Linked DNA regions of Drosophila melanogaster. The gene in region 2 interacts genetically with the main gene of each other region. Each region holds a gene or a part of one and is shown on either strand. Other genes may lie near its edges. The genes, in order: bru1, Mhc, wupA and up.

What was found.
Region 1: of Mhc (region 2) and bru1, changing one suppresses a phenotype caused by changing the other (phenotypic suppression), as found in Drosophila melanogaster (one study listed by BioGRID).
Region 3: of Mhc (region 2) and wupA, changing one suppresses a phenotype caused by changing the other (phenotypic suppression), as found in Drosophila melanogaster (4 studies listed by BioGRID).
Region 4: of Mhc (region 2) and up, changing one suppresses a phenotype caused by changing the other (phenotypic suppression), as found in Drosophila melanogaster (2 studies listed by BioGRID).

Annotation. Positions count from the first base shown.
Region 1 is NT_033779.5:12,202,897-12,210,909, forward strand, and holds the start of bru1 (bruno 1), read left to right. Parts: upstream 1-2,946; 5' UTR 2,947-3,234; intron 3,235-4,812; exon of another isoform or gene 4,813-5,319; coding exon of another isoform or gene 5,320-7,014; exon of another isoform or gene 7,015-7,214; intron 7,215-8,013. Other genes in the region: CG31759 (uncharacterized protein), read left to right, coding at 5,320-7,014.
Region 2 is NT_033779.5:16,763,439-16,771,316, reverse strand, and holds the start of Mhc (myosin heavy chain), read right to left. Parts: upstream 4,584-7,878; 5' UTR 4,561-4,583; intron 4,392-4,560; exon of another isoform or gene 4,207-4,391; intron 3,541-4,206; exon of another isoform or gene 3,358-3,540; intron 2,734-3,357; 5' UTR 2,637-2,733; coding exon 2,433-2,636; intron 2,171-2,432; coding exon of another isoform or gene 2,027-2,170; intron 1,859-2,026; coding exon 1,715-1,858; intron 861-1,714; coding exon 480-860; intron 407-479; coding exon 343-406; intron 275-342; coding exon 176-274; intron 1-175. UniProt on the Drosophila melanogaster protein: Muscle contraction.
Region 3 is NC_004354.4:18,111,915-18,119,739, forward strand, and holds the start of wupA (wings up A), read right to left. Parts: upstream 4,912-7,825; 5' UTR 4,793-4,911; intron 2,821-4,792; exon of another isoform or gene 2,733-2,820; 5' UTR 2,712-2,732; coding exon 2,697-2,711; exon of another isoform or gene 2,692-2,696; intron 2,619-2,691; exon of another isoform or gene 2,530-2,618; intron 2,009-2,529; coding exon 1,826-2,008; exon of another isoform or gene 1,816-1,825; intron 1,662-1,815; coding exon 1,533-1,661; intron 1,468-1,532; coding exon 1,344-1,467; intron 749-1,343; coding exon of another isoform or gene 648-748; intron 125-647; coding exon of another isoform or gene 24-124; intron 1-23. UniProt on the Drosophila melanogaster protein: Troponin I is the ATPase inhibitory subunit of troponin in the thin filament regulatory complex. Involved in the development and maintenance of muscle and nervous system. May also be involved in the cytoskeletal apparatus.
Region 4 is NC_004354.4:13,598,545-13,606,615, forward strand, and holds the start of up (upheld), read right to left. Parts: upstream 4,035-8,071; 5' UTR 3,874-4,034; intron 3,822-3,873; exon of another isoform or gene 3,685-3,821; intron 3,111-3,684; exon of another isoform or gene 2,824-3,110; intron 1,574-2,823; 5' UTR 1,549-1,573; coding exon 1,526-1,548; intron 1,237-1,525; exon of another isoform or gene 917-1,236; coding exon of another isoform or gene 914-916; coding exon 872-913; coding exon of another isoform or gene 868-871; intron 1-867. Other genes in the region: CG11178 (uncharacterized protein), read left to right, coding at 7,901-8,071. UniProt on the Drosophila melanogaster protein: Troponin T is the tropomyosin-binding subunit of troponin, the thin filament regulatory complex which confers calcium-sensitivity to striated muscle actomyosin ATPase activity.

The DNA.
Region 1 (8,013 bases), 4.6 Mb from region 2:
TGTTTTTTCTTTGTGTGAATTGTGATTGTTTTGTATGTATTTTTTTTATTGTTTTTACTTGCTTGACTGTGTGTAATATGTTGAAAATGTGGATTCCTAGTTCTTTCATTTTTTTTTCCTAACGCATGTCAAACATGAAAAGCAGCTTGTTTACGCTTTTCGTATACGATTCCTCCAGCTTTCAACATATGCTTCACTTATGTTCCAAGCCATTTGTTCGATATTTACAAAATAAAGCAGCTCTGACAAAACAAATTTATATTGATGACGATGCCTGCGAGTGATGTATGCAAATGGCTGTATTTAAATGGCTGTATCTTAAACATTATGCCTTTACAGCTGGCCAGTCCATTTACCTTAATCAAATTAGCTAACTTAGAGTAAACTTTTAGGACCTGAAATTAGTTTGGTAACAACCCTTTTGGGCTAAGTTAACAGGTGAGTAAGCTCAGGTATTAAATGGAGATGGCATTAACGTAGTAGACTTCACTTGCAGATGTCTTGAATGCTATTCAAAGGAATAAGTTATTTGTTCTCCAACCCAATTTATTTTATTTTCTATATTAAGAAGCTTTTAAATGTCATTGGGTTATATTACTAGAATAAAGTTTTTAAAATAGAATACAATTCGCTAGATCTTAAAAAAACGTTCCTGTTAGGGCTTTGTGGCCTAATTGTGACAATGAATACATATAATTTAAAAAATATATTTATAATCTTTAGTATGTTGTTTATTTAATGTGCCTAAATATCATGGAATTTTGAGTATCTTAATGCATAATTGACCAGCAAATATGAGTACTTAATGTTTAATGATAATGTATTTGTTAATTTGTCTTCAGAAAATACGTTCGTATGGGCTTCTTGCATTTGCAATGCCCCTATTTTAGTAACATTTTGCTCAGAATTCTGTGTGCAAAAGACAACAATGAGCAACGAGCTTTGCTTTTCAGTTTATCAGTTTTTCCCTACAATTACCATGGTTATCCTTGACAATTATTTCCGCACAGAAAACTTTCTAAATGCACTGGATCCCCTGTAATAATTGCCTAGCCCAAAAGACCCAACAAAAATACACAGCCTTGGTGGTGCCACCTTAATTGCAGGCGTCTTTCTCTAACCAAGTCAACTTTCCTCCAACCAGCACTCAGCACTCACTTATTATTAAGTTGTTTTCGAAACTAGGAAGAGGAAAAACCGGCGGGCGGAAATGGAGGAATGGAGAAAAGGAGGAGCTCTCCCGGCAAAAGTTAAATTATAAAATCGTCAAAAGTTGACGAAGACATTTTGCGCCTATGAAAACAAATACACGAGGAAAGTGCTCCACTAAAAAATAGGAGGGAAATGCGGGAGCAGGAGCCACTTAAGATGCTTAGCGCCATGGCAAGCGAAAATAATGACGCTCATAAAAACTAACTAAACACCAAAATAAAGCAAATATATATAGGTATATATATATATACATATATTTGTTGGGCTGGCTTTTTTAAGCTGGAACGACGCTCTCTGAATGACAACGATAATGATGTGCGATAATGTTTGTTGTTTCTTCGTTTGCTTATTTATTGTACTTATTCGTTTATTGTACTTTTTCATCCCACAGTGCTGGAAACAATGATAATGATAATAATGAAGATGTTATTGTGTTTCTCCTCTTTGTTGTTGTGCAATCTAAGACAACTGTCAAAGACTTTGCCAAAGGATTAGTCGACTCGGCGCCTTTCGCCCTGCTATACCCTGTAAAAGTTGCGCTAAGGATATATTACACATGGAGTAATTTGGATCAAATATGGGTTACCAATTTTTTTTTTTAATTTTTAATTTTTTTTAATATCATGTTGCATTTACGATAAAGAAATTTGCAACTGAGAGATTTTTTTTTGATTAATGACAAAAGGACATTTCAAGAAAAGCCTTTTTGAAATCGATTTAAAATTTAATTCATTTGTAAATGGTACTATAAAGAAGTTTTAAGTTAGGGATATATTAGGATATTAGGGATATTATCATATTAGGGTTTTGGAAATTGAAATATGAGGAGAAAATATATAATATAATAATATATAAGTAACATAATCTTTATAAAATTTGTTAACGTTTATAGTAGTATTTATTTTGGAAATTTTAAATCTACAACCATATAGCAATGATTTCAAACAATTCATGTAAATATTCTTCGAAATATTCATGCAAATTTGAAAGAAAGACTCCATGTAATCATCAAAAAGTAGCTTCCTACATTTTCTATAAACAACACAATAAGATACGGGGTATTCTCGCAGTCGCAACGAGTTTGTGTATCTCGTGACTGGTGTCTTTGCTCCTTGCCATTACTTTCGACCTGCTCCTATCGCAGTCGTAATTAAAATTGCACCAGACGTAGTGAAGTTTTGTACTTTCTTCGGCATCAGATAGTCCTGGAAGCCTCCCCTTCAATTTAATCGCTTTGACTGCATGCTGGTTGTAATTTATTTATTGCCGAAAATCGTACCCTCTACTCTTGATTTGCCCCTGCCGCCGCTCGTTGTATTTTTTAATTGATTAGAAACTCGAGTTTTGTTTTCTTTCTTTGCCTTCAATTGGCATCGAGCCAGGAAATTTTCAGCCTCATTGAATTTCTTTCGGTTTTTTTTCCACTCACCCTCTTGACTTTCTTTCTCGACTCGCCAATTTTAGCAAATTACTTTCTTGGCAAAACTTTTATATTTGTTGATTCATTTATTGCTAATGTCAAACGTTCGACTTGGTGAGCTGAACGACTGATATGAATCAGTGATAGCAATCAATTATGGTATCCAATTCATTTGCTTTTTTTTAAATTTAATTTAGTTTTATTTTAGCAAAGTTCATAAAAAATAAAAAATGAACAGCGAGAGCTTTGCATCCCAGTTGGCTGCGCTAACGCTTGTCAAATCGATTCAATATAGATTTTTAGTTGTAGTGTTTCCAAATCAGATTGTGTAACGTACATATAATTTTATAAAAGTTTATCAATTTTTCGGCTTATTGGTGGCAAAATTCTCAATGTGTTAACCTTTCGGCCGTACCGCGTCACTCTTCCATGCTTTTATCAATAATTCTTAAGAAGAAAATCTACAAAAAAATATACAAAGTATTTACCCCCACAAGACTACAAATGAAATAGCCCAGTTATCCGCTTTCGGCTACAAATTCTACAAGTGTAAAAAGGAAAATAAGAAGAAATATAGCAAATTCCCGCAGCAAGTGAAATAGGTGAGTGCAAGAAAGTTCTTCAAGTGTTCAGACCAAAAGCGGATATTCTAGTTGTCCTTGAGTGTGAATGGAAAGTGGGTTGGTGTGCTGTGAACTCGTCCTGTGTGCTGTGTGTGTGTGAGTGGGTGTGTGCGACACGGTGCTTGGGCTTCCACGCTGCATGACAGATTATCGCAAGGACCTTGCCGTCCTTTGAGTGTCCTCGACGGTTATTGAAATTGCTGCAATTGAGTTCGGAGTGCTCGAAGCTATTTAATTGCTGCCGCCTGCCTCCAAGAACTTGCTTTTCACCACTTCTGTCGAAGATGAGCTAACTATTTTGCTGATTTTTGGTGGATTTTAATCTTTATATCTCAGAAATATACTATCGAATATAATCATCTATACTTAATTTCAATATAAATGCTGGTAAATTTTTGAAAAGTGTATATAATATTGCTTAAAAAATGTTCAATATGTAAAACTCTTAAATGACTTATAGTTAGTTTCTAGTCCTTGTTCCATCCACTGTGTCTAATCGAAGCTTTTTGGCCATCTCTGGTTCGGGTCAATAGGAAAGGAGTAGGGAACAGAAGGAGCAGCTAAAAGTCCTCTTCTTTTTCCCGCAGGTGTTGTAAGCCAGCAACGAGTCCTGGAACTGAGCCAAAGCTGCTTTCTCTCAAGTGCTAACTAATTTCGTTGTTGTCCTTACCGCCTCTGCTCCACATCTCGGGCCCAAGGATGCTCTCTGCATCCTCGGGCTTAGCCTCATTCCCTGGCTCATCCTCATCATCGGCGTCTTCCTGCAGTTTCGTTTTTGGTGTCAGCAACATTTCTTCAACTGGTTTCGTTTGCCCTGCCAGTCAGGTTGTTGTCCTTTTTGGTCCTCTGTGTCCTTTATAGAGTTCTATGCGATTTTTCTCTTGTTTTTGATTTTTATTTTTTCATTTGCTCCTTCGTAGTGCAATCTTTTTGGCAAACTCTTGTGTGGCGCACAGTTGTTGACTCTGTTTCGGGGCCAAGCCAATTCCTTTTTGGCCTGGCCAAGTCATCTCTTGGCTTGTTTCGGCGTTTTATGCACTTGTGTGCTCCATACCTTTGGTCCACCCCTTTGCCAAATACGCTCTACACATATGATCTGGCTTCTGTTTCGAATTTTTATGGCCGTCGTCTCAGTTGTCCTTTCTTAACTTGGCCGAAAGTTGAGTTTCCTTCGTTGGGGCAAGATGTCTCATTTGGATCGTAACACTTAGCTTAATGTTTACGACGTTTGCCGTGAAAATAGTTTTCAACTGAAGTGAAATAGGAGGTTTTATAGTTTTGTTCGGGTGTATATTTTGCGAATAATAATGTTCCTCCTAATGACCACAAAAAAGGAATAAACGTTTCCTATATAGAAATTTTTTTTCTATTTCATAGAAAAAATCTTCTATTCTTCGATATGTTCAATTTCAGATCATAGCAACTCTTCATATATTTATCAGCTTTATAATTTTATGAAAAAAAGTAATATTTAAGTGAAATCTTTTTGCTTTCAAGATTTGAAATTAAATAAAGCTTTTATTAAAAGCTTTTGCGTCAAAGCTTCAACGTTGCTAATGGCAGAAGCTCTCTCAAGATCAGCTGTTTCTCAATGCCGAGCATGTGGTTGGTTTCGTTGTGAATGCCAAAAACAACAGCTGATCGCGCGGCGTGGCAGAGCGAAAAAGTAAAAATCTCTCTTCGTTTTTATCGAAATCGGCGCAGTTTCGCCTAATTTCTGCGGTGTTTTCGTGCAACACGACTGTTTGCCGATTGTAAATAGGTGTAAAACAACTTAAATGTGATTAATTTTGCAACTAAATCTGGACAAGTGAGTTGTTACGACATCGGTGCACCAAGTAAAGTTGTCTAACCCAAAATTTTCCCAGATAAAACGGCGAAAAACAAGTCAACTAAGAGAAGTTCTCTTCTTCAACGCCGATCTTCGCTCCAACATTTGCAACATTGATGGGGTTTTTTTTGTTTAAAAACATAGTTCGCAATTCTGATAAATTATTCGGAAATAAAACTCCAACTAGAGTTTCGCTATTGTCCAGATTTTGTGGCACTTCCTTGGCTGGTAAAATGGAGAAGGTTTATTTGAGAAATGCAAGTGATACCAAAGAATTGGACATTGTGTTTCGCTTTGTGAATGAGAATTTGAAAATAAACCGGGAATTCAATTTCCGTCGCCAGATGAATGAGCCCATTGATGCGATATTGGCCAGGATTCAGAGTAATATTATTGGCAGGCTTGCAAAGTCCTGCAAAAAATCAAAAATCAAACCGCCGGCAGAAATCAATGTTAAACTTCTGAGTGACAAATATGGTGAAAAATTCAATGAATTAACATTTGAGGATCTAGTCGTCACCCAAGATATCAGCAATGTAAAACTGCAGGTATTAGATACGGTCTACGATTTGGTGTTCAATCCACCGTGGATTTCATCCCTAAAATTTTTGCCCTCATGCATATTGGCAGGATTTGTAATATACCCCACCAATGTTCAGATACAATTCGGAGAACGTCAGTTCAGCAAAGCAGTTTGGTTCAAGGCCAAAAAGCCCACAGACACCGATTGGGAGGTGTGCGGAGAAGGATTTCAATATCTAGTGACTCCTGAGGATATTGGTTACCATTTGAAGTTCGTGGTGACGCCGGGTAATGCACTGGGAATGACGGGTCCTGTGGTGGAGAAGATAACCAACTCTGCAGTGCAGGAATCTCCCGGGCGTTGTCCATTCCAAGATCGCCAAAGGCACACCACGAATTCTTTGAGCGAATCGAATGAAATTCGTGTGGTGTCTTACAATTTGTTGGCCGATTTATATGCCAGTAGTGACTATGCCGGTAGCACTCTGTTCTCCTATTGCCCGGCAAAGTATCTGCAAATAGACTATAGGAAGCCACTGTTCATCAACGAGATCATCGGTTATAACTCCGATATTCTCTGTCTACAAGAAGTCGATCAGCGAATATTTGATTTTGATTTAAAGGAAATTCTAGAACAACCGCCGTATAACTATCACGGCATAATGGCCCCGAAAGGCAAATGCGCTGAGGGAGTGGCAATTTTCTTTCGGAACTCGCGCTTCGATCTCTTGGATTCTCAAATCCTGCATTTGGGGTCCAATATTCCCGCACTGCCCGTATTTGAAAGCCTTTGGAATAAGATCAAAGTTAACGCACAATTAGCAGAACGAATCTGTGAACGGTCCACCACTCTGCAAACTTGTTTGCTTAGAATAAAGGGTACCGATAACTACGTTCTGGTGGCCAACACGCATTTATATTTCCATCCGGATGCAGATCACATTCGCCTGCTGCAAATGGGATTTTCCATGCTATTCGTAGAGCAATCTATTAGCAAAGCTATAAAGGACTTTAACATAAGTAGCCACAAAAACATTGGACTAATATTTTGTGGCGATTTCAATAGCGTTCCCGAGTGTGGAATCTACAAGCTGATGACGGAGCAGCTCGCCGAAAAAACACTGGAGGACTGGCAAAGTAATGCCGAGCAGGCGGTTTCGAATGTGGAACTCGCGCAGCCTTTCAAAATGGCATCAGCCTATGGGGCACCGGAATATACCCACTACACCACCCTCTTTGCGGGTTGCTTGGACTATGTGTTCTACCAAAACGATCGCTTCGAAGTTCTAAAGGTGGTGCCACTGCCAACGGAGGAGGAGTTGAAAGCCAATACTGCGATACCATCGGCTGTTTTTCCATCCGATCATGTTGCTCTTGTAGCAGATCTCAAATTTAAGTCAGATTGATAAATTTTTGGGCTTGCATATAAGAAAAATTAAGAATATCTCGGGGATTTCTCAGCATAAATAAATGTATACGTATGCCAAATACTATGCTTAAATGTAATAATACTCATTTCTTCTTTATATACAAAACAAAATTCGTTCAACAAATCCTGGCCTATTAACAAATGCTTCTTCTCCTTTATAAACTGTGGCATATAAACAAAAAAAAAGAAACTGCGTAGATTTAAAGTAAAACACGGAAAATAAACCGAAATAAATTGCGGAATGAAGTGACAACAAATTGAGTAAATCCCTGAGTGGCTTATAGCTCGCCTGCAAGCAGCTGGCTTTCCCGGCATCTGCTCCTGTTTTCCGGCTGATTGCAGGACGCAGAGCAATTAACGTGAAAATTCGCCAAGGAAAAACGCTCCGTTGCGGAGGTGGCGCCAACAACAATGGCGCGAAAAGCTGAAAGGAAATCCGAGAGCGAAAAAATATCCCAAGCCAACTGAAGTGATTTTCGCACTAATTAACTGCACTTAGTTGACACATACCAATCTATTCACACCGCCACTCCCACACAAAGTTGTCGTTGGCCATAATCAGAGCCAGTGCAGCATTTTAATTGGTTTCCACAGTGCTGCCAATATAAAGTCCCACATGTGCAATCGGAATTTTCCACAGAAATTATTAGAAAGCAAATGAAATGTGGCCCGATGTGCGGCGCACTCTCGTCGAAAATAATAGTACTCCTAACTTGATTTCTATGTGAAATGACTTTTGCTAAATACCATAAGATATTTTAAAAAATATTTTTAAAATATTTCAAAATCTCTAGAATACTATAAACTATTCTATGCCATAAATTCAATAAATATAGATGCATATTAAAGACTGCTATTCATTTTTCTTTGGCTGTATGTGTTCGTGTGGTGTGTTCTATAAGCCCTGCAACTCTATAATTACGTGGTACCGTGTTGACAACTAACTTCTTGCAGTGCGGGAAAATGGGAAAAGGGG
Region 2 (7,878 bases):
GTACATCGATTAATCTATGAAATCAATTTTGAATGGGTTTGTGTGGGTTGTGTTTTGTGTTCGTGTGTGTGTCTTGAACCTAAACCACAACTAAAAGAGATTTAAAAAGAACTAGATAGTTCGATGATTCTCTGAATGAAGGATGTATGGATGAGTAAGTGAGACGATTGTATACCTTTAACACCGGGAACGGAGCCAGACATGATCTGGTAGAAGATGTGGTAGGAACGCTCCAGGGACTGCTGGGAGATGACACGAGCCTTCTCCAGCAGATCTGTAATGGTAAGAGTATGACATTAGGATCCGGATCAATATTCACAACGTATTAAAGTGACAACTTACAGGTCTCAATATCAGCACCAGCCAGTTTACCAGTGGGTCCGAAGTGGATACGGATGAATTTACCCTGGTTTGCAAGGGGATAAGTTCAAATTAGTTCAGTTCCAACATGGTGATCTATCGAGTGCGGGACTACTTACGAAACGAGAGGAGTTATCGTTACGCACGGTCTTGGCGTTACCGAAGGCCTCAAGCACAGGGTTGGTCTGCACAACCTGATCTTCCAGGGAGCCCTTGCTCTTGGCGGCCTCATCGGTCTTCTTGGAGGCACCAACAGTGGCGAAGTACGCAATGACCTTCTTGGTGTTCTCAGTCTTTCCGGCACCAGACTCACCGGTGATCAACATAGATTGATTCACGTGGTTGGTCAACATGTCGACGTAGGCACCGTCAGAGATGGCGAAAATATGGGGTGGCACCTCATTACGGCGCTTGCCACGGTACATCTTAGCGCAACGGTTGGTATACACGGGGTAACGCTTGTAAGGATTGATGGCAACGCAGAAAAGACCGGAGTAGGTCTGTTTTTTTGGCCAAGAAAGATGGGAGAGAAGTTGCTTGTTAATATCGTGAAGATCTTTGCATAAATTCATATATGTTAGAATCGTTGGAAAGTTAGTTTTTGTATCGGGCGATTCAGAGCCACTCCAGTTGTCTTTTGTAGTTTTTAGCAACTGTTTCGGTTTTAAGTTTTCAGTTTTCCGAGTGCTCGTAATCGCTCCATAGACAGAGGAAAGTTTCAAATAAGTTTTTCTTATAATTACGATTTTTAGTAACAGTTTCGGTTGTCTTTTGGTCTACCAGTTTTTTGGTGTTCGGTTTTGTGTTATAAGTAATTTAAAAAAAAAAACTAACTACGATGTTTCAGGATACTTGTTTAAAGTTTTTTTCTGGTTGGATTGGGGTAATGATTGATGGTCTGCTTGGGGGTTTTCAGCTCGACTTTCATTGTGCGTTGAGAACCAATTCTTGTGGCTTTGATTGTGTGGTGTGTGTGCTGTGTGTAGAACCGTTTTCTTTCCAGTTGTGCGGTTCATCCGACTGGACGGCCAAGATTCGTTTTAATACAAGCTGGATTAGTGCATACGTCACAGGAAATGAGGAATTAGCTGGGGTTATGTTTTTTTTTTCATAGGGCTTAATAAAATGAGTTTCATAAGTCCGAAAAAGGAGCGAATGACTAAGGTTAGCAGTCTACTCAATTGCGTTAAATACTTCAAAGCTTCGGAGACTAGTTGCAGCTCTAATCGAATTTTGAAAAATTTTGGGATGTTTTTCTTTTTTTCATAAGTGTGAGTGATTGGCGGTAGATAAGCGGTTGGGTAAGAACATAGAACGCATACTTGTGTGCCACCCTTGATCGGCAATTACTTACGTAGATCAGCTTGTTGTAGTATCTCTGTCTCAAGTTATGGAGCACAGAGGCATCGTTAAGGTATGTCAAGTTGGACATATCCTCGGCTTTTTCGTATTTCGGGGGGTTCACTTGCTGGAGCAGATCTTTCTTTAAGTCTCGTGTCTGTTTATCATTTTCGTTCGGTTTGTCGGATTCAGTTCGATTGGTTATGTTTAGTTTTTGTACAACATTTGTTGGTTAGACGTTGGGTTAGCAGTTCGTTTTTGAGATTGAGAGAGAGAGAGAAGAGATACCCATACATTAGTGAGTTTCTGGCAGTACAACACTTACGTAGATGAGCTTAGCATAGTAACGCTGACGCAGATTGTGCAAAACGCAAGGAGTGTTAAGCACGGTCATGTCGGCCATATCTTCAATTTTTTCGAATTTTGGTGGATTGACTTTTTCCACCTTCTCGGATTTGATATCTCGTACCTAATCGTATATGTAGGCGAAATCTATAGTTTCATTCTAATTTTGTGGCTACATTATAAGCTATTGAAGTGTATGAGGTCATGACAAAGTCCCAGTCTTATGCTATCCATTGAAAAACCCTTCTTGTAGTAGTAGTAGTAGTACCAAGAAGATTTTCCCATTGGGTAACAATTGACTAACACTTTAGGTCGACCATAAGACTCTTCAATAGCTTTTTTTTTTTTTTTTTTATGCTGAAGCCTCGTGTAGACGATGACTTTACCTCTCCACCCTGCAGACCAACGGAGACGATATCGCCCTTGGTGGCCTTGATCTCACCAAGGAGATAACCCTCCTTCTCGTCGGGGATCCAGCAAGACTTCTTCGAGTCATAGGGTTTCGATTGATCGATACGCCTTTGCTCCAAAGACACGAACAGGTATGGGGTGGGATCCTCATCCTCCTGATTTGCGACTGGCTTCGGCATCTTGCTTAAATTTCGTTTAGAAACTTAAAAACTCGAAAAATAATATTGGGACTTTTCAAAATTTCTTTGTTAATCGCGTCGTGAGCCCAAAACTTCCCTGTAAATATACAAAAGAAAAATAATATTTATTATATGGTTCTCAGAAAAGCATACTATTTTTGGAATTTTGTTTCGAAGTCTGATTCTTTTATGGATTTTATGCTTTTGACCCATTTTGACAGCAGCAGCAATAGCGGACACTATAACAGTTCTACGCGTGTGTGCGTGGATAGGATTTCGAAATTTAATTTCGATTTCCAAATATGAACATTTTTCCCGTTTCGCGCTTTCGAAATTCCCGTTACCGTAACCGGATATTTATTTATGTGTGGCTTTGATTTTATCTCACACCTCAAAGTTAATTAGGCCTGGTCGGTGCTTGTGTTGTTGTTTTTGTTATAAACAGACAACAAGTGAATTGTGTGGGTTGTCGCCTAAATATAGATCACGGATCCGATACGAATATGTATATGTATACCACTTATATATATATATATCAGAATGCTTTGCATATATACGGATTTTCGGGGCGTTGGTATTTGTTACGTAACGCCAATTTTCATTTAGATATTTGTGTACATTTCTCCAGGTTTCTTTGTGAAAAAATCTACAGACTATTGATACGCCAAAACAATGCTTATTATTACAAATGTAGAGAGGTTAAACTGTCACCACAACTCACTCAACTGGTAACTACTACCGTTTGGAACGCGATTTCGATATTTTGAACAGGTATCTCGATATGGTGGCGTGTTCTCATACAAGCAATTCACGAGATCGCAATGATTCCTTTCAGTAAACTTCGAAGGCGGAACGATTTTCGACAATCCACACTAAATCGACAATCGAAAATTCGATTCGAATTGACGCGAACTTTTAACGAATGCGTTATTTTTAAAATTCTCGAAATTATTTCGAAACTAAAGTCACATACATATTCGTCTATATGTAATTCGTAATTTCGAGAAGCTTTTTGGCTCATGCTACCACATGGCACACATAGACATAATGTATAAGTATTGGCGATCTCTTTCTAATGTCTTTGGTTATTTTTAAAACATATTCGAAATTATTTCGCCCATGTATATGAGCCGACAACGAATTCGAGTATTCTAAATCTATTTTCTATAGTATGCATACGCATATGTCTCGGCCACACAGGTATTTGTGTATGAAATCATTTCGCCAGTAATTCGAAATGGCTATTACAGCATTTCGAACTCACATCGAAACACGAATTTTTCATTTGATGAAGTAACAGCTGGCTGTCTCTTTCTGACATTTAAATGATCTATTTGCTTTAGAATTTTTTAAGTAGTCGAAATTTAGAACGATGAAAGTCTTTTATTCCAAAATTCTTGGGCGAGAAAGGATAAACTAGTTTTTTGTGAGAGTCCTAAAAGTAAGAAAGAAGTTTCCTTATATCCTTGTTACTTCACTTTCAGATTTTTTCGCTGATATGATCGAAAGTCAAAGATTTGTTACACAAGAAGTTGAAGATAGTTGCATACTTCTCAGAAAACAAATTAACGCCTATAGGTTATGTTAAGTAACTGATGTACTTCCTAAGAAAAGATTGTTATTTGTAATCCAATTCGATACGATAATCCGAGGTATTCCGGTTCACTGTTCTGATTGTCACAGAGTTTTAATAGATCCGTTTTCGCTCGGATCGTAGTTAAAGCACCACACACACACTTTTTTAAATTTCTCGATTTTGTTGCATATATAAATATATATAGGTAGTAATAATTATTTTAGTTTTATGCTTTTTGACCAAAAGGTCAAATTGTTGCTGCTGCCGCTGATGCTGCTGCTACCGCTACTGCTGCTGGGTGGTAATATCCAAAAATCAGAGATCGCACATCAAAGGTGTTGCACTTACGCGCTCGAAAGCCGTTCTGAACCGTGCAACCGGTAAACTTGCCTTTTATACGGGGCAACTTGATACCCATGGATCCCGTAAGACCCCGAAAGCTTTTCGATTCGACGATCGGTGTGCGTGGCGCTGTTTCTGTTTCGGTTTTTCTTGCTCCCTTTTTCGGTCTAGCACTTGGCTGCTCTGATTCCTATTCCTCTTCTCTAGCAAGTGGGCATTTCTATGGGGGATTGCGGGATGGTGGATATGGTATATGTGTGAGCATATGATGCAATCAGGATCGTTGCGGAATCGAGAGCGGAAAGCTCCTTCTCCGACGATTGCCATTGCGTAGGCTCTCTCGCAATTCTCCCATTAGTCAAATAGTAAAATTCATTTCAATGACAACTTTTCCGCCGTGAGGCAATTCTTCTCCGCCGGAATCCCTCGCTCTTTCCAAGGGGAGCTTTCTTTTTACTTATTTCACATATCATTTCTAGACGCACACATGTGTGTATGGCATGGCATGGTGGGATCTTTATTTGTTTTTCTCGGTGATCATTTTTCGCTTTTTGTTCTGGTTTTGGTTTTTGGTCACCTCAATGCCAATCCGATCTGGCACCAATGTGGGTGGAATACAGGGGGAATGCTTGCGATCAGGCGGCGCTATGTGGTTTTCCTCCTAATCTGCGATCACTTTACGATCAGTGGCTAAACAGCTGTTCGAGAAGACCGATCGTATGCTATCAATGGCTACAAACATTCGTTTGGTCATCGTTCAGTTGTAGAACGAAAAAACCCGATCCTTTGAGTTAATGATTGATGATCTATCTAGCCTAAGGATCGGCCATAGCAAGCACATGTCCGCCAAAAGTAATGATGTGAACTTCAAAATAACATAGATGGGCTAGAACATGCAAGCAATTGCAATGCACGCAAAAAAAACGAAATAAAACACATAGTTGAAGAGATACTTTAGATATAGATAGATAGACAGAGAAATGCCACATCAAATCAATGTAGTCGGCGTCCTTCAGAGCAATGCGATGCGAAAATCTTTAGGTTTCAATGCTAAAATCCAATACAAATACGATTGCAAATACGAGTGCATTATGAAATTCGTGTTGTAGCGATTTGTCGAGAATTTATCAAATCTATAATGCTGACAAAGAGAATTATGATAAATGCCAACAGAATTGAAATAGTCTCCCCTCTTACAACGATGTCAAATTCCGACACAGAAATTATTCATAATTTTAAGCAAAATTACAAAATTTCATGTGCAACATTTTTGGCAAAGAATTATATGATAAATGTATATACACCCACTGCAAGGTATTTTCGACAAATACTTTTCGTAATGAGTTGGTCCGTCTTGAATATTCAATATTTAACAATGATTATTGTGTAGCGGAAAAAGAATACGCAAAAAAACAACTCATGAATTCGGACAAAAACAACTTTCAAACATTTTTTGAGGAATATTTATAGTTTGAAAAAGATTTCAGTTCTCATTCAAGTGTGAGTGTTTTTTTCCTTTATTTTCGGTGCAGGGTTTGCTGCTCTCTAGTCTTTTCTCACATATAAAATTATAATACTTTTTGCTAAGTTTCTGAAACAAAATCTGTGACATTGTCGAGCAGAATTGTGGGCAAAAAGACAAAAACATAAATTGAGCATTTAAAACAAATTCCAAGAACAACAAACAACAATTTAGCACCTGACAATAAATTATTTTGGGGTTATTTGTTGTACTTGTAAAGCCAATGAGTTGGTATAAGTTAATATTTAACATTTAATAATTAATAAAAAAAACCTTTAGTTACGATACATTTTGGTCTTCTTTATTATTCTAGATGGTTCTTCCCTTGCTCCCTTAAGATATTCGATGCGAAAAAAGCGAATCCAATATTCTGCTCCCAATTTTTTGTTCGAAAAGCACAAAAACATTTTCGTTTTGAGTCATTGACGCAAAGCAATTTTTGCATTTTAGTGTCAAGATGCTGTTTCTTCTTCTTGTGTATTTTGGCACTGGTGGGCCACCAACATTTTCCCAAGAGGGGTGGTGGGGGGTGCACATGGGGTGCTTGTCTACACGAGGCAGCAACAATTATTGCTTGCAATGGGCAATTTCAAAGATGCCGCAACTTTGCGATGTGCGAGGTCCTCCTCCGCACCTGCACCACCAGCACCACCGTAAATCGCTGCCAAACAGAAGACACTTTGAATGGCGTTTCTATCGGTGGGGTAGAAACGAGGATTGGTTGTGACACAAACGCAGATCACTGGGAACTATATGGTACGTTGCTTAGTGGGTATGTCTAAGCCATAAAGTCGGTTAGTGGATCATTTGATTTTCTATTAGGCTCGTGCTCCTTTGCACAACCGATCATAAATCATCGTCAGCGATGTCAGATGGCAAAAGTAGTACGAAGATAATTTATGGGTCAAGTACATATTTAACGCAGTTTTCGAAAAGATTCAACAAAATGCAGAATTTTGGCTCAAATATTTTATAAATTTTTTTTATTATCTAGCACCTTTCTAGAGTTTTTATTTTTACAAAATTTAAATCGGATTGGTATGACAAACACATTCGGTGTTTTCAGTATCAAGTATCAAAGATTACATTTATTCATAGTTCTTATGAATAACAATAATTCTTAACTATTTATTTAAGTATAAAACTTTATCGCTGTAACGCACTGTATCATACAATTTAAGATTTGTTGGCTTAAATGTGTCTGCAATTGCAACGTGTTTCGACTCCTTCCCGCCCAATCGGTTTCTGTTCAAGATATCAGTAACCCTGCCCGAAATTTTTGTCGAATGGTATTCCCTAAAAATTCTGCACAACCAATTGGTTTACATATAATGAAAATATTTTAAAAACGCCAACCGTGACCAAAATACATGCATAGTCTATAGATAACTCTCGTCTAAATGCATTGGAACCCATCCAAATGGTCGATATAAAAATATCCATCGTCGGCCAGTTTCTTTGCAATCCCCACATCCCAGCCCCCAGCCCGTTATCCCTAATCCTCGAGCGCCGTCCGTCGGTCAACGTCGCGGACTCGGCGGCATCTGCATCGCATCTCCGGTGCACCGATCCCGTGCCCATGCCCACATCCAATTCGCGAGAGATCTCTCTTGGCAAGTTGGAGATGCAGTGAGCGGCGGAAAGTACTTGCATACATACAGACGTTGCCAGGTAGCACATGGCATGACAAATGAATGAATACTTCCTGCATTACGTGTGTGTTATGCAACAGAGGATCTGGCCATACTACGAAATATCTGGTAATTGAACGTCTCGTAAAATTATTTTCCAAGTGGTCGGGA
Region 3 (7,825 bases), on a different chromosome or scaffold from region 2:
TATTGGAAACCGGAGCTGCTTGCCTCATAATCCTTTCTGGCTACATCGTACTCGAAATCGTACTTTTCGGACTCCAGTTTCAGTATCTTACTGTGGTAGTCCTTACAAACACTCTGAATAGTATCTGCGGAACGAAGTGTGGTTATCAAAACGGTTCGAACTGTATCTGGATATTTGGAGGTGTTGTTTGACTGTGCGTGTGTGTGTGTGTGTGAGTGCGCTGGTATTTCTTGGTGTGGGAGTGGGTGAGTGTGTTTTTGTGAGACTAATCTACTCGAGAAATGGCACCTACACTTCCATTCTTAAACAGAACACATCCTCACTGGAGTGACATATAGAAAGAGACCTGCATTAATCGGGTGAGTATACGGAGATACGGATACGGATACGCATACGGAGCTAATTGAGCCATTGAGTTTCTGTACAGTTTTTAGTGCCTGGGCGAATAACACTTTTCACGAACATATATAGAGTGTATTATACAGTAAACAGATTGAGAGTGAGATAGTGTTTTAGATATATAGAAAGAGACAGCTGACAGAAGGTGTGTTTATATTGTTGTTGTTAAGCGTTAGCTTTTGATTTTGATCGTGGATAGACTTAGGCGTATTTAGGTGGCGTATATAAAATTGGTGGTGTTCGTGTACCTCAACATCCTTGCGTTTAACAACATACTCAAGATCATATTTCTGGTCCTCCAATTTATTAATCCTGTCATAGTGTTGCTTGATCAGAGATTTGAGTGTGTCTGTTCACAATGGGGTTTTTATATTCGGTTTTTCGGAGTGGTTCGGAGTTGGTTGTGGTTGTGGAATGGGGTGTTGGTTGTGTTGGAGAGGGTTGGTGGTGGTGGTGGTGGTGGTGGTGTGTGTGTGTGGATCGATTGGATATTTAACGGGCATGGGTGCGGCAAAAGAGAGATAGAGATAGAGACACATTTAGATACATGTTGCACACAGTGGTTCAGGCATAATAAGACTATGGTTCCTCTGCGACGTCAATGTGATCCGATGTGGGAGGTCGGTTATCCTGTGTGTGTTTGGTGTGTGTTTTTGGTGTCTTCGTGTTGGTGTGTTATGTAATTGTATGTATGTATGCGATAGATGACACTTGTTCAACTTTCAGTTATCGATTTTGGTTTATGCTTCGCGACAGGCGGGCTTAAACATATTGAATGCATAAGCCGCCTATCTGTTTTACTGATTGATTTCGTTTATTTCGATTATATGGTTTTTCATCCTTTATACTTTCGAACCGTGACCAGGTGCAGGGAAACCTCTAGGGATTTCCACTCGCCTGATCAGGGATCTTAATCATTCGGTTCGAGGACCGAGGCTACTCACCTTCGCTGGCATCGCTGAGATTCCTGGGACTGCCGCAACGTTCTTCGATGATGCGTCTACGTTCAGCCGCTTTGCGTTCCTGTTCTTTCTTCAGCTCCTCAGCGGCTTTCTTACGCAGCAGCAACTGCAAGTGGAGGGCTTTGATTAGCTGGCGATCATACAAAGCGTTGGTATATGCTGGAAACTTACCCTGAGTTTCTTCTTCCTCTCTGGGGTCATGAAACCCTTCTTGGCCTTCTTGGCCTTGGAGGCTTCCTCCATGCGCTTGCGCACCTCAGCACGCTTGCGCTCGATCTCAGCCTGTTTAGCCTTCTTAGCCTGCAAATTAAATGAACGAACAATCCGGGTATCAGCATGGTTTGCTCACATCCAAAACTGGACACAACACTAGATATGATATTCGAACACAGCACTGCACAGCACGAGACTTGGACTTTGACATGGACGTTAAGTTGAACGGGCACACACGTACACAAGTGTACCTCCTCGGCCTTCACTTTGGGGTCGTTGGGATCCTTGGGCGGACCGGCGGGAGCGGCGGCAGCTGCCGGAGCAGCCTTTCCATTGGCCGCCGGAGCAGCCTTGCCATTGGCCGCCGGGGCTGCTGCCGGAGCCGCCGGTTTGGCCGCCGCCGCTGGAGCTGCGGCCGGAGCTGCTGCCTTTTTCTGAAATCAAGTTAAATGATTGCTGGTTAGTTGCAGTTCTAGGAATCGAAAAAGTACGCCAGGCTAGGAGAAAATTGCTTAAACTTCAAAGGAACTATTAACATTTCTCAATCATCCACAATTATTTAAAGTAATCAAATAGGTTTTAAACTCATTTAAATTATATAAGAATGGTCAGCCAAGTTTTATTGGTTGTAATATTTCATTGATTTTAAACTACTTTAAATAGATCTCAAATTTCTCCAGGCACAAACGCGACGATAACAAAAAAAGGGACAAAGCAAGGCACAGAGACATAGACACACACTAACGATAACAGACATGGCTTTCAGTCAGACTTGACAGTTATCATTATCTGTGCTCCTTGATCGAAAGGAAGAAATGGCTGGGATTCAGAGGGTTGCAAAGCGCAGCGATCCTGTGAAAGCAAGAGAAAGGCAAAGAAAGGCTTGGGTTGCATGTTGCGTGGTTGCAAGTGGGGGGCTGTTGAAGCTTCTGGATTGTTCGGGAGCTTTGCTTACCTAAATCCACATCCAGTCAGGTTTAATCCCGTCCAAATCACTTCCAATTTCCAAAACAGTGCTTGCGATTAATGCCCCAAAATAGTTAACTGAAGAAGAGGGTCAAAGGTTAATCAACCGTTTCTCAAAGGCGGTAGAAAGGGGGCCGTTGGAGATACTCACCTCACCTCATCATCAGCCATTTTGATTTGTGTTTTTGGTTACTGAAAGTAAGAGAAATCGAGAGGTGAACTCAAGGAACTGGAACTGGAGGCAAATGGTGAATGGTGAATGGTGAATGGAAATGTTCGATGACATCATTTCCATTGCCCTATATATACACGGCTATATGTAGGTATATACATATAAGTATGTGTTTATATATATATATATATATGTTCCATAAATCAGTCGCTCTCTCTCCCATTCGCACACGCCTACGATCTCACCGGGGTACCACAGTGCGTATGCGCCATATTGCTGGCATATGCCGCATATTACGTATACGCAGCATTGGTTCACGCCGTATATGGGAGGACAACCCCAGCAAACGCTCATTTTCCCGCTCTCTTCGCTTAGCCTTTCTTTCGCACATTTACTTTGGCGTGGGCGTCTAGCTGCCAGAAAAAGACAACTGTATTGCTTTGTGGCTTTTCTAGTTGCTCTCTTTGATATCCGATTTCAAGTGAGCAAAGAGAGAATAGCATTTCCCAACTGACCGATCTCAGCCAGCTGATTTTGTTAATGGAAACTTTCCTACGATATGTTTTCGTTTTAATCAAGCTAAAAGTTAAATCGTTAGTATAGAAGTAACTTTTACATATGCATACTTGATCAGATGATTGATCGTTGTAATGGCATTTTAAAAATACATTTTATGCTGAATAACATATTGGGAATCTTTAAGTAAACATTATGAGATTTCATCATACGAAAAACCATGTCTACATCTTGAGGAATTAATCAGAATTTATTTGCTAGCCTATCCGTATAGTATGTATATGTATACATTTTTACTGAAATGAAGTCGAAGAATTAACACCTCACAAAGTACATATATAACTTTAAAAAGTCTACTAGCGTTGAAAGTAATCGTTAAACAAATTATCTATGCTGTTAGCAATGAACTAAAATAATGTACAATGAGTCAAAAGGAGATCCGTTATAGATTTTATATCCTTTGGAAGAAGTTGTATATTTTGGGGTTTTCACACCTACAAAGCCATATGGCTTAGTAGAACGAATTGCTAGGGAGCTAGGCGTATATTTAGCCCCAGCAATTTGCGCACCTTAGCGAAGGTAAGGCGTGAAAATTTTCTGACAATGACGACCTTCGGCTATGTACACTGCGAGAAATGCACAACGAATTTAAGCATAGTCGATGTCTCCACTCGGCATACATCTGAGAATGAGAGCGAGTGGGATGGCATCTACTGTATCTAGTATCTGACTGATTTAAAAATAAACCTGTTGATAGATACACGAATCTCGGATGCGAGAAATATGGCAGCTATTTATGATTTGCCGTACAATTTGTTTATATGTTCACGGAAAAAAAATAGTCAAATTGGAGCAACGATATTCGTATCGAATATGAAATCCAAAAGTTCGGAGAGCATTTATCCAGTTATTTTACGTAGGCGACGTGTGCGTGTTGTTTCTCTGTGTGTGAGTGTATGATTTTCTGTGTGTGCGTGTGTGTGTGTGATTTTTCTCTCTCTCGGGATCTCTTGTTCTCGCTGTGGTCTATTTTCAGGCACTTTTCGAGCGATTTTAGCTTTTTTGAAATGTATCTTGTATCTGCGGGATACATTTTTAGCTTTCGGCACGCACACACACGCATACACGCACACACACACGGCAACTTCTTACGTAATTGGCAAGCCAATCCGTGAAAAAAAATTCATTGCAAAATCAAGTCAAAATAATGTTGAAAAGTATTTCGATGCAGTTTTAGACACTTGTTAACTTGTATCACTTGAAAAAAAATAGCAAAAAAATTGTTTGAAAAAAAATGTTTGAATCCTCTGGGCACACGCACACGATTTTGGTCAGGTCCAGACATACATATAAATATAAATATATATATATATATGTATAGCATATGAGAAAGGACTGAGGATTTCACATTTGTTTTTCTTTGCATTAGCATTAGCATTTGCATTTTGCATTTTGCAGTTTTCTGTTTTTCCATTCCGCTTGTTCTTGCATTGTTGCTCGTTGTCAATGTTGATGGTGATGTTTTTCTTGGCTTTTTGAATGTTGCTCCGCTTCAAGCACTCACCTTCAAGGAATTAGAAAAAAAAGAAAAAAAATTCGGCTATGCTGTCGATCACACGAATCGGATGATACTGAACGACACAAAAAGACTGAACGGTCCGACGATCCACGGCAGACTATATTCTAGCGGCTAGCCACCCAACGGATACAGATACGGATCGTTGTTGATCGGATCGCATCGTATCGCATCGTCTCGTTCGGCTCGGTTCCGTTATGTTCCGAAAGCCAAACGTTAGCCGCCCACCTGCCCACCGTCCTTCACGAACGGGCGAGAGCGAGAGAGAGCGAGAGTGGCTCGGGGGCCGGGGTTATGTATCTGGGCGTGAGATCCAAAAATAGATCCCACCAAAACTGACATGGCAGAGCACAGCCCATAAGCAAAATCGAAATGGATACCGAAAAGTGTTCGGCTCACGATCGTCGCAGCCGAGTGGCATGCCGAATCGATTCCGAATCCGAATCCGATTGCGATTGCGATTGCGATTGCGATCCCGATCCCGTAACTCCCGCCCCGTCGGAACTGCAGACCCGTAAACCACCCTATGAAAAATACCGCTTGGAGAATCTTTGTATCTCTGTATCCGCATCGGTGTTCACAATATCGTATCTGCAGTTCGATGTGTGTGCTGGTGTAAACGGAGCCGCTTGGAATTCAATGCAATGGATAAAAATAGGTTTTGTTGCTCCAGTTGGGAGGCTATGCGATGGCGGTGCAATCGGTGTGCAATGAAAAAATCAGGGCCGGCGACTGGCTGCAATCTCTGGTTTCGCCAGCCCTGGTTAAAAAACTATAAAATATTATGCTAATTCTGGAAAATCCAGGGAATAAGCTTGTGCTGGGATATGCATATATTGAATATATATTCATTTTCAATGTAATCTACTTCAACAGCAAATACTAATGAAACTAAACATTATCTTAAAATAGGTGCATGCAGCGTTATTTTAAAGATTAGATTTATAACTCCTATCGAACATTTATCCTCATAAACATAACTAATATTTCGATGAGTTGACTGAATACAAATTACTGTTTTCTTTAGAAGACTGCAGTTTTTAAGAAAAATAGGTTAATAACCCTTACATACATATATTGCTGAAAATATATTAGATAAAATTGGGGAATCCCATAGATTCTTAACTTATTTAATTTGAAGATTATTACTATTTAATCCATCCAATATCATTTCCAGGTCTTAAAGTAATTATTCCGTTTGTGTTCATTTAAAAGGTTTTTCTTAGACCGTGCCACTTTGGACTTGATCTAGAAAAACCATTTTAACGATCTGTTTCATGTTGTTCGGCTATTTATCTTGCATGTTGGCCGCTGACATAACTTTAAGCTTTCGAATAATGTGTTCCAAGCGAATCGTACGAACATATAGCCTATATCCGTCTTGTTAATATCAATGTTTTAGCTGAATTACTTTGGCATCGTCAGTCTAAATATAATGTATATACGCAATATGGCCAAATACACACATACACATATATATATATATATATATATGTATATATATATAAATTTCTATATATAATGGTAAACGGTGCGAATGACGCTGCAACACACCTACTGAAAATCACGCATACGCCCCGTAGACGAAACGCCTTGCAACTTTGGTTGAAAGTAATTTTCGAATTTCGCCAAGAACGAAAGACGAATAAAACGTTTCGATCACGAAACCATGTCTATATATATATATATATATCGTATATGAATTTAGATATACATAGACTGTCTATACGTATGTTCCGATTCTATAAACTTTCAGCAGGGAGAGCAACAACAAAATATTGTTGAAAATAATGTTGCTTTTCCCTGCTCATCTCGTTGTTCTTGGCATTTTGTGTTTCTGTTTGTGTTGCTTGTTTTTGATTTTGCCACGGCTTGTTCTAGCTCTATTTCGAAATGTATTTTCGATGATTTCTATTTTGTTTTTCCCCATTTAAATTTAGAATATGGCTTCCAGGGGGGAAATCGAAAAAACGGCGACTGCGGAAGGGCAGTGGGTTAGCTTGGGGCAAAATGTTTTCGTTATTCGTAGGGAACTTGATCAGTTCGTCTATGTCTGGACGAATCTATTTTCGCCTTCATTCTCGTTCCGAGCGTTTTTAAACAATTCCGCTGCGCGCCCAAGCAATTTTTGCCTTAATTTATGAATTTCGAAAATGTTTTTCGTTTGAAAAAACACTTTTAATATTGTGCCTTATTTTTGGGCCTTTGGCAAACAGGAAATATTGAATCGGACGGGGGTGGGCTATAATGCCGACCAGTATTACTAGAAAAGCGGTAATGTCTTACAGCGTCGAAAATGTGTATACATTGGCAATAAGTAAACTTTAATAAAGCAATGTTGCAACATGGGCGGAATATTTGCACGAATCGAGGCCTTAAAGGTGGGCAGTGTGGTGTGCCCAGTGAATCGAGCTTAATTCGGGGTTAAAGGCGAACCATCGATGGTCAGCTGGCTGCGAGTGCGTCAAAGCAAAACAAACGTCATAAGCGCCCACCCCCGCCCCCCCCCTCTGAGCCGCCCACTGTGGGCGTGGCCTTGCAACGTTCGCTCTACCTGACAACTATTTGTCGCTGCTGTCGTCGTCGTCGTCGTCGTCGTCGTTGTCGTCTGCCCGCCGAACTCCCCCTCCATAACCAGAACCAACACCACTCCCCAGCTGTCGCTGACCCATTTAGGGTTATATACACACAAACAGGCACTCGCATCCTTATCCTCCCTGCACCGTATATAAATATATATATGTATATATATAATATGTATATGTATTTATATATGCTGCATGCACTCGCATTATGTATGTACATAGGTGCTGGGTGCACTCATGGTAGCCGTCAGAATTCGCTTACTCCGGCTGGTCCTGCGAAATATTTAAATAACCCTGCCCAAGTTCGCCTTAGAGTTGGCAAAGTTATCGCAAATTTAATTAAATCAACTAAACGGATTACAGTTTCAAATGCACTTTTGGTGCACGTATTGGTTGCACATCTCCAAGGATTAACTGCGTTTGTCGGTTACAGTAA
Region 4 (8,071 bases), on a different chromosome or scaffold from region 2:
TTTAGTTGTTTTTAACATAAAATTGGTATTAATATTAATAAATTAATCAATTTTTGTCTATTTTGTATCAATCTTATTAAAATCGATGACTTTTCCGAGCTACGTATACGCAATATTTGTTCTATTTTTATAGAAAATTACTACTACCATTATTTTGAACACAGTTTCATACACATGTGGTGGGTGGTGGTGGTGGGGATACACACAGCTTTTATATACACAATTTGCCAATTTTTCGCTAGGTTTTTTTTTTCGGGAGGGGGTATGAACTATGAACTCGCTGCTTGAGTGGGTGTGGGGTGAACAGTGGGTGGGTGGGGTTTGCTCTCGGGTTCCATTAGTAAATTTTGTACAATTATCGGATATTGATTTTGTGATCGTATACTTTTAATTCTAAATTCAATTTTGGTTTTTATAGACACACAACAACACATTGAAAACAAAAACCAAAAGAAATAACAAAAATGTACACAAAACAGAATAAAAAATAAAAACTAAAGATAAATTAATAAACAAATAAAATTATTTACAGACGAGTACACAAAACAAAAATGTTGGGTTGGTTTCGGGTTTCTGGGTGTTTTTTTTTTTTCAAATCTTTTTTGGGGAATACATATTTCTACCAATTTTAAAAAAAGGGTGGTTTTTTATATTGCAGACATTGACAAAATACAACACATATAGAAAATTTGGAATACAAAATGGTGGGCAAGGTTCGGTTTCGAAAAAAATCAAAAAATTTGTTATAGTTAGGGCAAAAACAAAAAAAAAAAAAAGATAGACATAAGTGAACACCAATCGAGTTCTTTAGGCTGCTGCACCAAAACCAACAAAAGATGTCGACAAAAATCGGCAACAAAAATGTACTTACGTCTCCTCGCGGGTTTCCTCGACAACCTCCTCCTCCTCGGAGCTGCTTTCGAGTTCGTAATTAAACGAATTTTGGTTTTTTTTTATATTTTTTGGTTTAAGATTTTTGAATAAGGTGTTTTTTTTTATATATATATTTTGGAGTGAAAGTGCAGGGTTACACACGGCACACGGGTGCAGAGGTGATATTGTTGATTTGTTGTTGAATTGTCGTGTGGTTGTTGTTGAATAGTTGTTGATTGTTATTAGTTGTTGATTTCAAAAGAAACGAAACGACAACATTAGCGGTTGTTCGAACAGATTCATGGGTTGTGGTTGTGGAGGTTTTTGGGATCGTGGTCGGTTTTTCGGTTCGGGTTCAGGGATGACAATGCGTGGAAATAGATAGAAAGGAGTACAGATCAAAATAGGTGCCACTGGTAAATGTGATTACAAAAAGTTCTCTTACAAGAATCCACAAAAATCTGATCGTTGAATTAGTTAGTACGTATAACAACAAGGGTTCAAACGAGACCATCGAATACTTCTCTTCAACTTTGCTACTTTACTTAAGTTATCTGTTTACTTTACACACTTTTAAATCTTGTTCGCGGTCATACGCGTCGTATACTTAATATTTGCATCTTGTCCTACATATTCCATGGGTTCTACTTACGTGTACTCTTCATCGTCGGACATGGCTACGGTTTAGGGTTGAAAAAACCTGCAATAACAATATATAGAAAATAAAAAGTTTAGTTTAGTCTTCAAATGCATATATTTAAGATTAAATTAGGAAGCCATTGTAATAGAATAGGAAAGACACCAAAAACGTGAATGTGTTCCATTATTATATTTCTTTTTGAATTCAATTGATATTAAAAATAATGCTTATTAAATATAACCCCTTTTTTAGCCAAAGCAGCAACAACAATAGAACAGCGAAATACAGGTGTGCAAACAAGTCAACAAATGATTGCCCTTTTTGATAACCCCTTGTCTATTTTCTATTCAGGGTTTCACTGTACTTGAAGCAGCCTTTGATCGCCCTGCGATAACTCTATATTTAGACGGATCTTTCCCCCTATATATATGTATATAATATATATGTATATGCGATTCCGCTGTGTATATGTAGGCAGGGCGACCTGTCTTTTTATAGCCGGCAACAATGTCTCGTCCTCACATCATAATCTTTCAAATTCAAGAAGAAAAAAATAAACGATAAATTCCGTACGCTCTGCTCTAAAATTATTTAATTTCCCATGCTATCTATATCCACAATCTATAACTGTGTGTGTGCGAAGGAGAGAGTCGTAGTCCAATCTATGTATGTGTGTTTTTTCATTTTCCTCCGATTTTTTCTCAATTAAAAATAGACTTTGGGGCAGTATTGAATTTCCCGAGAGCCGAAAGCTTCCGAAAACATCAAAAAGCTTCGGACAAAGCCTTTTTTGAAAATTTTCGTTTTTTTTTTTACCTTGGCACTAAATCGGAAAATCTAAAGAAGCTTTTCAATTTATATATGTATATGTATTGATATATATTTGGGCGTACTTGTGTGTAATGAAAAGAAAATCAAATCAAATGCCATTCATAGATCGCCTGTATATATCTATGCCAGTTATTATGCCACGAATTTATATATTTAATATGCTATTTGAAATTTCTATGATTATGAATATTCTATTTCTATAATCTTTGCACTTTTGCGTGGAAGTGCAATTGCTGAGCTTGTATTTTTAGCCTTAGATAAACTGGGTCAGTTTTGGGGCAAGTGCTTGGAAATGATGTGAAATGTATTGAGAAAAGTTCTGGAAAAATTGAACAAACTTTTCAATTGAAACTGGTAATGATCTAAATATCATCCGACAGACTATCAGAAATATACGTCTATCGTCTTTTCACACTTACATATACAAAAATGTTACTGATCATACATGTTAGTTTCAAAAACATGGTTTTGAATCTTACTTTTTGTCTTTTCAAGTTCAAAGTTTGAGTAAGTGTTAGCTACTTCCTGCCTAGCAACATAAAACTGTCATATGCTGTTTTTATATCCTGTCATTATATCCTTATCGAATTTACTCTACAAATTTCCCTTTCTTTAATTCAATCTATCTGTGCCCTGTTTCCATTTATAGTCCTATATATATCCTCCAAAAATCTCCAGATCTCTATTCGCCATCGATCTTGTGTGGGTGGCTATAGTTCCGTCTCGTTTTCGCCTACTATATCTTTAACATATCTGATCGGCGCCTGCGCGGAAAGCTATTGAAAAAAGTTTTCACTCTACGTATCTGTGTGTGTGTGTTTCTCTGTGTGTGTGTGTGTGTGTATCTTGGACATTTTGCCAAGGTAAAAACACACTCGCTCGCGCACACATACGAATCGAATTTATTTTTAAAATTCGTCGAAAAAAATTTGAGAACTTTTCCTCTCAGATCATATAACACTTTCAGAAAGCAAAAAGATATACATATATGTATATGTATATTTATATGTATAGATTCCTGTCTGGCATTGTTGTTGCTTTTGATTTTGTTGTTGTTGTTGCTGCTGCGGCTAATCCTGTTGTTGTAGTTGCCGTTGAATATTGTTTTTGGCGCCGCCAATGCCTGGGCGAATTTTTTCAAATTATTTTTAGCCTTTAGCCATAATAAAAAAAAAAAGTTTAAAAAAAAAAAATTTTTTGAAAAAGTTGGCTTCAGAGTTCGTTTTTTTGGTGGCTTTCAAGTCATTTATTCGCACTATTTGTTCGTAGATTGCACTTTAAAAAAATTTCAAAAAAAAAAATAAAATGTTATATAACACTAGGATTTTCCAATTCGTAACTTTCTTTTGTTGATGTTCGTGGTTCGTGGTTTATTCGCAAAGGATTCGGTTTTCTCGTTTTCGATAACTTTCTTTTCGTTTTTAGGCACACAAGTTTATTTTATATTTTCTTTTTATTTTTTTGGTGATGCAGCATTTGAAGGAGATGTGAAGCAGCAGTAGAGCAGAAACAGAAAAAAAAAAACTTACTTAGGGAGAAAAACAAATTGAATTGAAGTCCGAGCAGCTGACGTCGTAGGAGCGAATGCTGCGGTTCGACTAACCAAACTGACGATGAAAAGCGCTGCTACACGTTATGTTAAAGAATTTTTCGTCGCGTTCGCGGAAAAGCCATTTCCACGCACACACCGATCGCCTTTCTATATAGCCAATAGCTGGCCATGTGTGCGAGCAGGCCAGCGCTATATGCCACATATCGCTGGCCGATGTGGCAACAAGTGGGTGGTGGTGGGTGCGCCTGCCTGTGTTGGCTGTGTTCGATGTGTTTTGGGTGAATTTTTCAGGTGGGCTGCAGCTGAAACATAAACTTGTACACGCACACAGCCGCCGTCGAGTTTTCCAATTTTCCATTTTGGCCAGAGCGAGATGAGGCATACGATATTAGTATATACTATACATTAGACCATAATGGCGCACGCACATAACTAGATCATACAATAAGTATATAGCGCATACGGACGTTCGGTGCGTTGGCGGCATTTTACACATTTGTTTTTGGAATCAAATATCGTAGAGCATAAATTTCACAGCCATTAAAAAGTCGGCCTGCATATATTGCTCTATAATATATACGTACAGATGTTCGTGCCGATATATAGCACATATAGTTTGGATTCCTCAGCGGATCGTTGCAGCATTTGAACCCCAGAGTGCACGCCCTACAAAATCTCCAACCCAGTCCGCCGCGATCACCGATCACCCCCTATATATATATATATATATATATATATTTATTTACCTATATCTATATCGCGATCGAACTGCTGACGTCGAACGGCCTTAGGTGGCCCCATCGCATTGCCATTTGTCTAACACTTGAATCTATTCGTCATTGTTCCGATTTTCTTTTTTTATTTCTCTCCTTTTTCTATGCTATTTTTTTTATTTTACTTTCTAACAGATACTTTTGGCAAATAGTTTCAGATACACTTACGCGCCTTGCAGCACTTTAAGCTATCGAATTTAATTCATTCTTTATTGGGTTATTTTTTCGAAGCATACAAAATCAATTTGAAGAATTTGACAAAATCTCTTTTTCCTATATGTAAATTTTGCCAAAAAAATTAATTTTTTCATATCGTTTAATAAACATCATAACACATAAGAAATATTTGTATTAAGTAAGGGTAGTGAAACATATTTTGTTCTGTATTTAATTTTGTTTCTGTATTCTAGTATTAATAAAATTAAAATAAAGCAAAAACTTACAATATTTTAAAAATGTACTTTCATCAACATCGATTTCCGTTGTTTTTTTTTTTGCCAAATTTTTCATAAAATTAGATATAAATTCTAGAAGAATATAAAAAAAAAAAAAAATTTTTAGTTTTTCGCTTGCACTTGTATCTTCTTAAATTATTAATACTGCAAAAAAAAATATTTGGGCTATCTCAAAGTTCCTCAAAATCTGGGTAAAAATTTTTATACATACATGATTACATTATATATGATTACATTACATTATATTATGATTACATTACATTATATATGATTATAGAAAAATTAATTTAAGACTTCTCTTAATTCCTTGCATAAACAAGTTGTTCAAATAAATAGACTTCTGTGTAAATTAAAAACATGCGATGAATATTATTTTAAAATTATATATATTACAATATTCTCCAATAGTAAAATTACTATATAGTCGCAAAGTTTCGGCATTTGTTTTGATTTCGTTTTTGGTTACCAAGTATCTTAAATTTAGAACATTTTTGTATCTGCACCTCTGCGAAATGCAAAATGCACACACCAGATACGCAGATAGATAGATATGTATGCATAGATAATTAGATATGTATGTGTATGTGATATGTATGGGTCTAGGTATTATGCATGGCTTGCCAAAAACCACAAAACTACAGAATCGCAATGGGACACAGGTGGGCAGTTCGAGTTATCTGGGATTTAGTGCATGAAATGGTACGGGCGTGTTCTGTCCAGATATAAACGACATCTGTAAGCGCTTTTTTAGCTGCTTCCAATTTTTGCCTGCCATCTGGCTGGATTCACATAACATCCTCCGTTCAATAAACAACTACGAACCTATTGCAAACATCGGGCCAAATAGCTCAGTGATCCGTAGACCAGAAGTACGGACATGTGCAGATATATACATATGTGGGCGTGAAAGTGGGTGGAAAGTCGGGTATGCCGTATGCCGTATTCAAGTAAATTTCAATTCGCATCATCTTCTGAATGTCCGAATATCAGAATGTTAGAAAGGCAAGTCAGAATATTCGAAAATCAGGGAATAACAAATAGCACAGTTTCGAATTTTTGTTGTTCTATTTTTGGACGTTTTGTGTGGGCGCTATTCGTCTGTAGCCTTCGGTTTTTAGTGCCGATCGTATGCACGAAGATGCCCGATATAAAAAATATATATATATATATATATATATTAAAGTATGTATATGTATTTGTTTAAATATCTTCTATATGTCTATCTATAGGTTAGCTTTCTGGGGCGATGTTTACGGGGAACTGTGGCTAATATCTGCATAGATCAGGAATAACATAAACATTATCCAAGATCTGGAAAAATATTTGATTTCAGACAAGAACGATGGCCCTGGGATTATATGAATGAACAGCGTATCCAAAGTGTCGAATAATTTGAATTGATTGCAATCGGTGCAATCTTAAATAATAAGCTATTGTTGGCTGTGTCACTTGCATTTTTTTTCTACTGTGTATGATGCAAGAAAACAGTTAAAATTCTGAAATATGTTCTTTTCAATTTTAGATTTTAGTGACCAGAATAGTAAGAGCTTCCTATTATAAACTTAAATGTATTTAACACATTAAATCAATGCACTTTCCAGTTTAAAGTTAAAATATATAATTCATAAACTTTTCAATGAATAAGATCAGGTCAAGCAAACATATTTTGTAAAGAACAAACAAGCGATGTGTGCCAATTTTAGAATCTATATGTTGGATGTTCGATTTAAAAATACGCTCTAACTAAATTAAATGAAATGAAAACAGACCAATTAAAAAAAGCAAAAAAAAATTGGGGAAAAGGAAACAACGGAAAAATCCATAAGAAAAAAGACACATAGAAGAAACCCCAAGATGAAAACAGCAGAAAATATAAAAACGTTTAAGAACAGAGCCATCATACACAGTCTGGCTATATAGTACCTAATGCTCCGTCTACTATATGTATAGTATTACACGTTTATTTTCAGAATTTGTTTTTGACTTAATTTTCGGCTTGTTGACACTTGGAAATGTGTATCAGTAGTCAAGCCAACAAAATCGCGACTAAAACCAAAATGTTACAACTATTTCAACATACTCGTAATGATAGTTTCGATTTTGGTAAGTTGGATGATGCTTACGGGTATTTTTGTATAAAAGTAAATACATTTTTTTACCATGCATTAATTCTGATCTCGTGAAACTTGTAACTTCACTCATTAAAATCAAAAAATTTAATTATCCTTTTTTTCTGAATAGTATTTTATCTTGTATTTAAAGTAAATATATTTCTTGTATTGTTTCTTAATAAAGATTAATGAGATACAAAAACAAATTACACTGTGAAGTTTTATTTTCGTTCATATTAGCGTGATTCTAATTCTTCAATGGTTATTTCAAATTCAAAAGTAACCGCCAATTTTCGTACTGGTGTAGTCGATAATGCCGTTGGTCGAAGCGAAACATATCGATAACCGGCAAATGCACATCTAATTGGAGTACAAAATAACGCCTCCTGATATCGATACGCTATCACAAACAAGAAAATAGAATAAAAACAAAATCGCTTGGAAATCGTAAAGAAAGAAAGTTAAATACGACAGATAGATAATTGCAACACAAAATAAGTGCGCCGTGGTCCGAATAGAACAACAATTGCGTGGCGTGGTTACACGAGTGCGAGCGAGAGGGCCGATGTGGTAGTGGCCAATCCAATTGGATATTCATTTTGCAGGCAAAAAACGCATTTTTTGTGGACACCGCTTGCTCCTTGGTACAAGGATAACGACCAACGATGGCCAGCGAGCCGGAGAACAAGCCACCGATCCTGCACATCCTCGTGGTGGGCTTCCACCACAAGCTGGGCTGCCAGGTGGAGTTCTCGCATCCGCCGCTAATCTCGGGCTCCACGGGACGCAACGAATGCCCCTCCGGCTGGAAGTACCTGCCCACTCTGGCTCTGCCC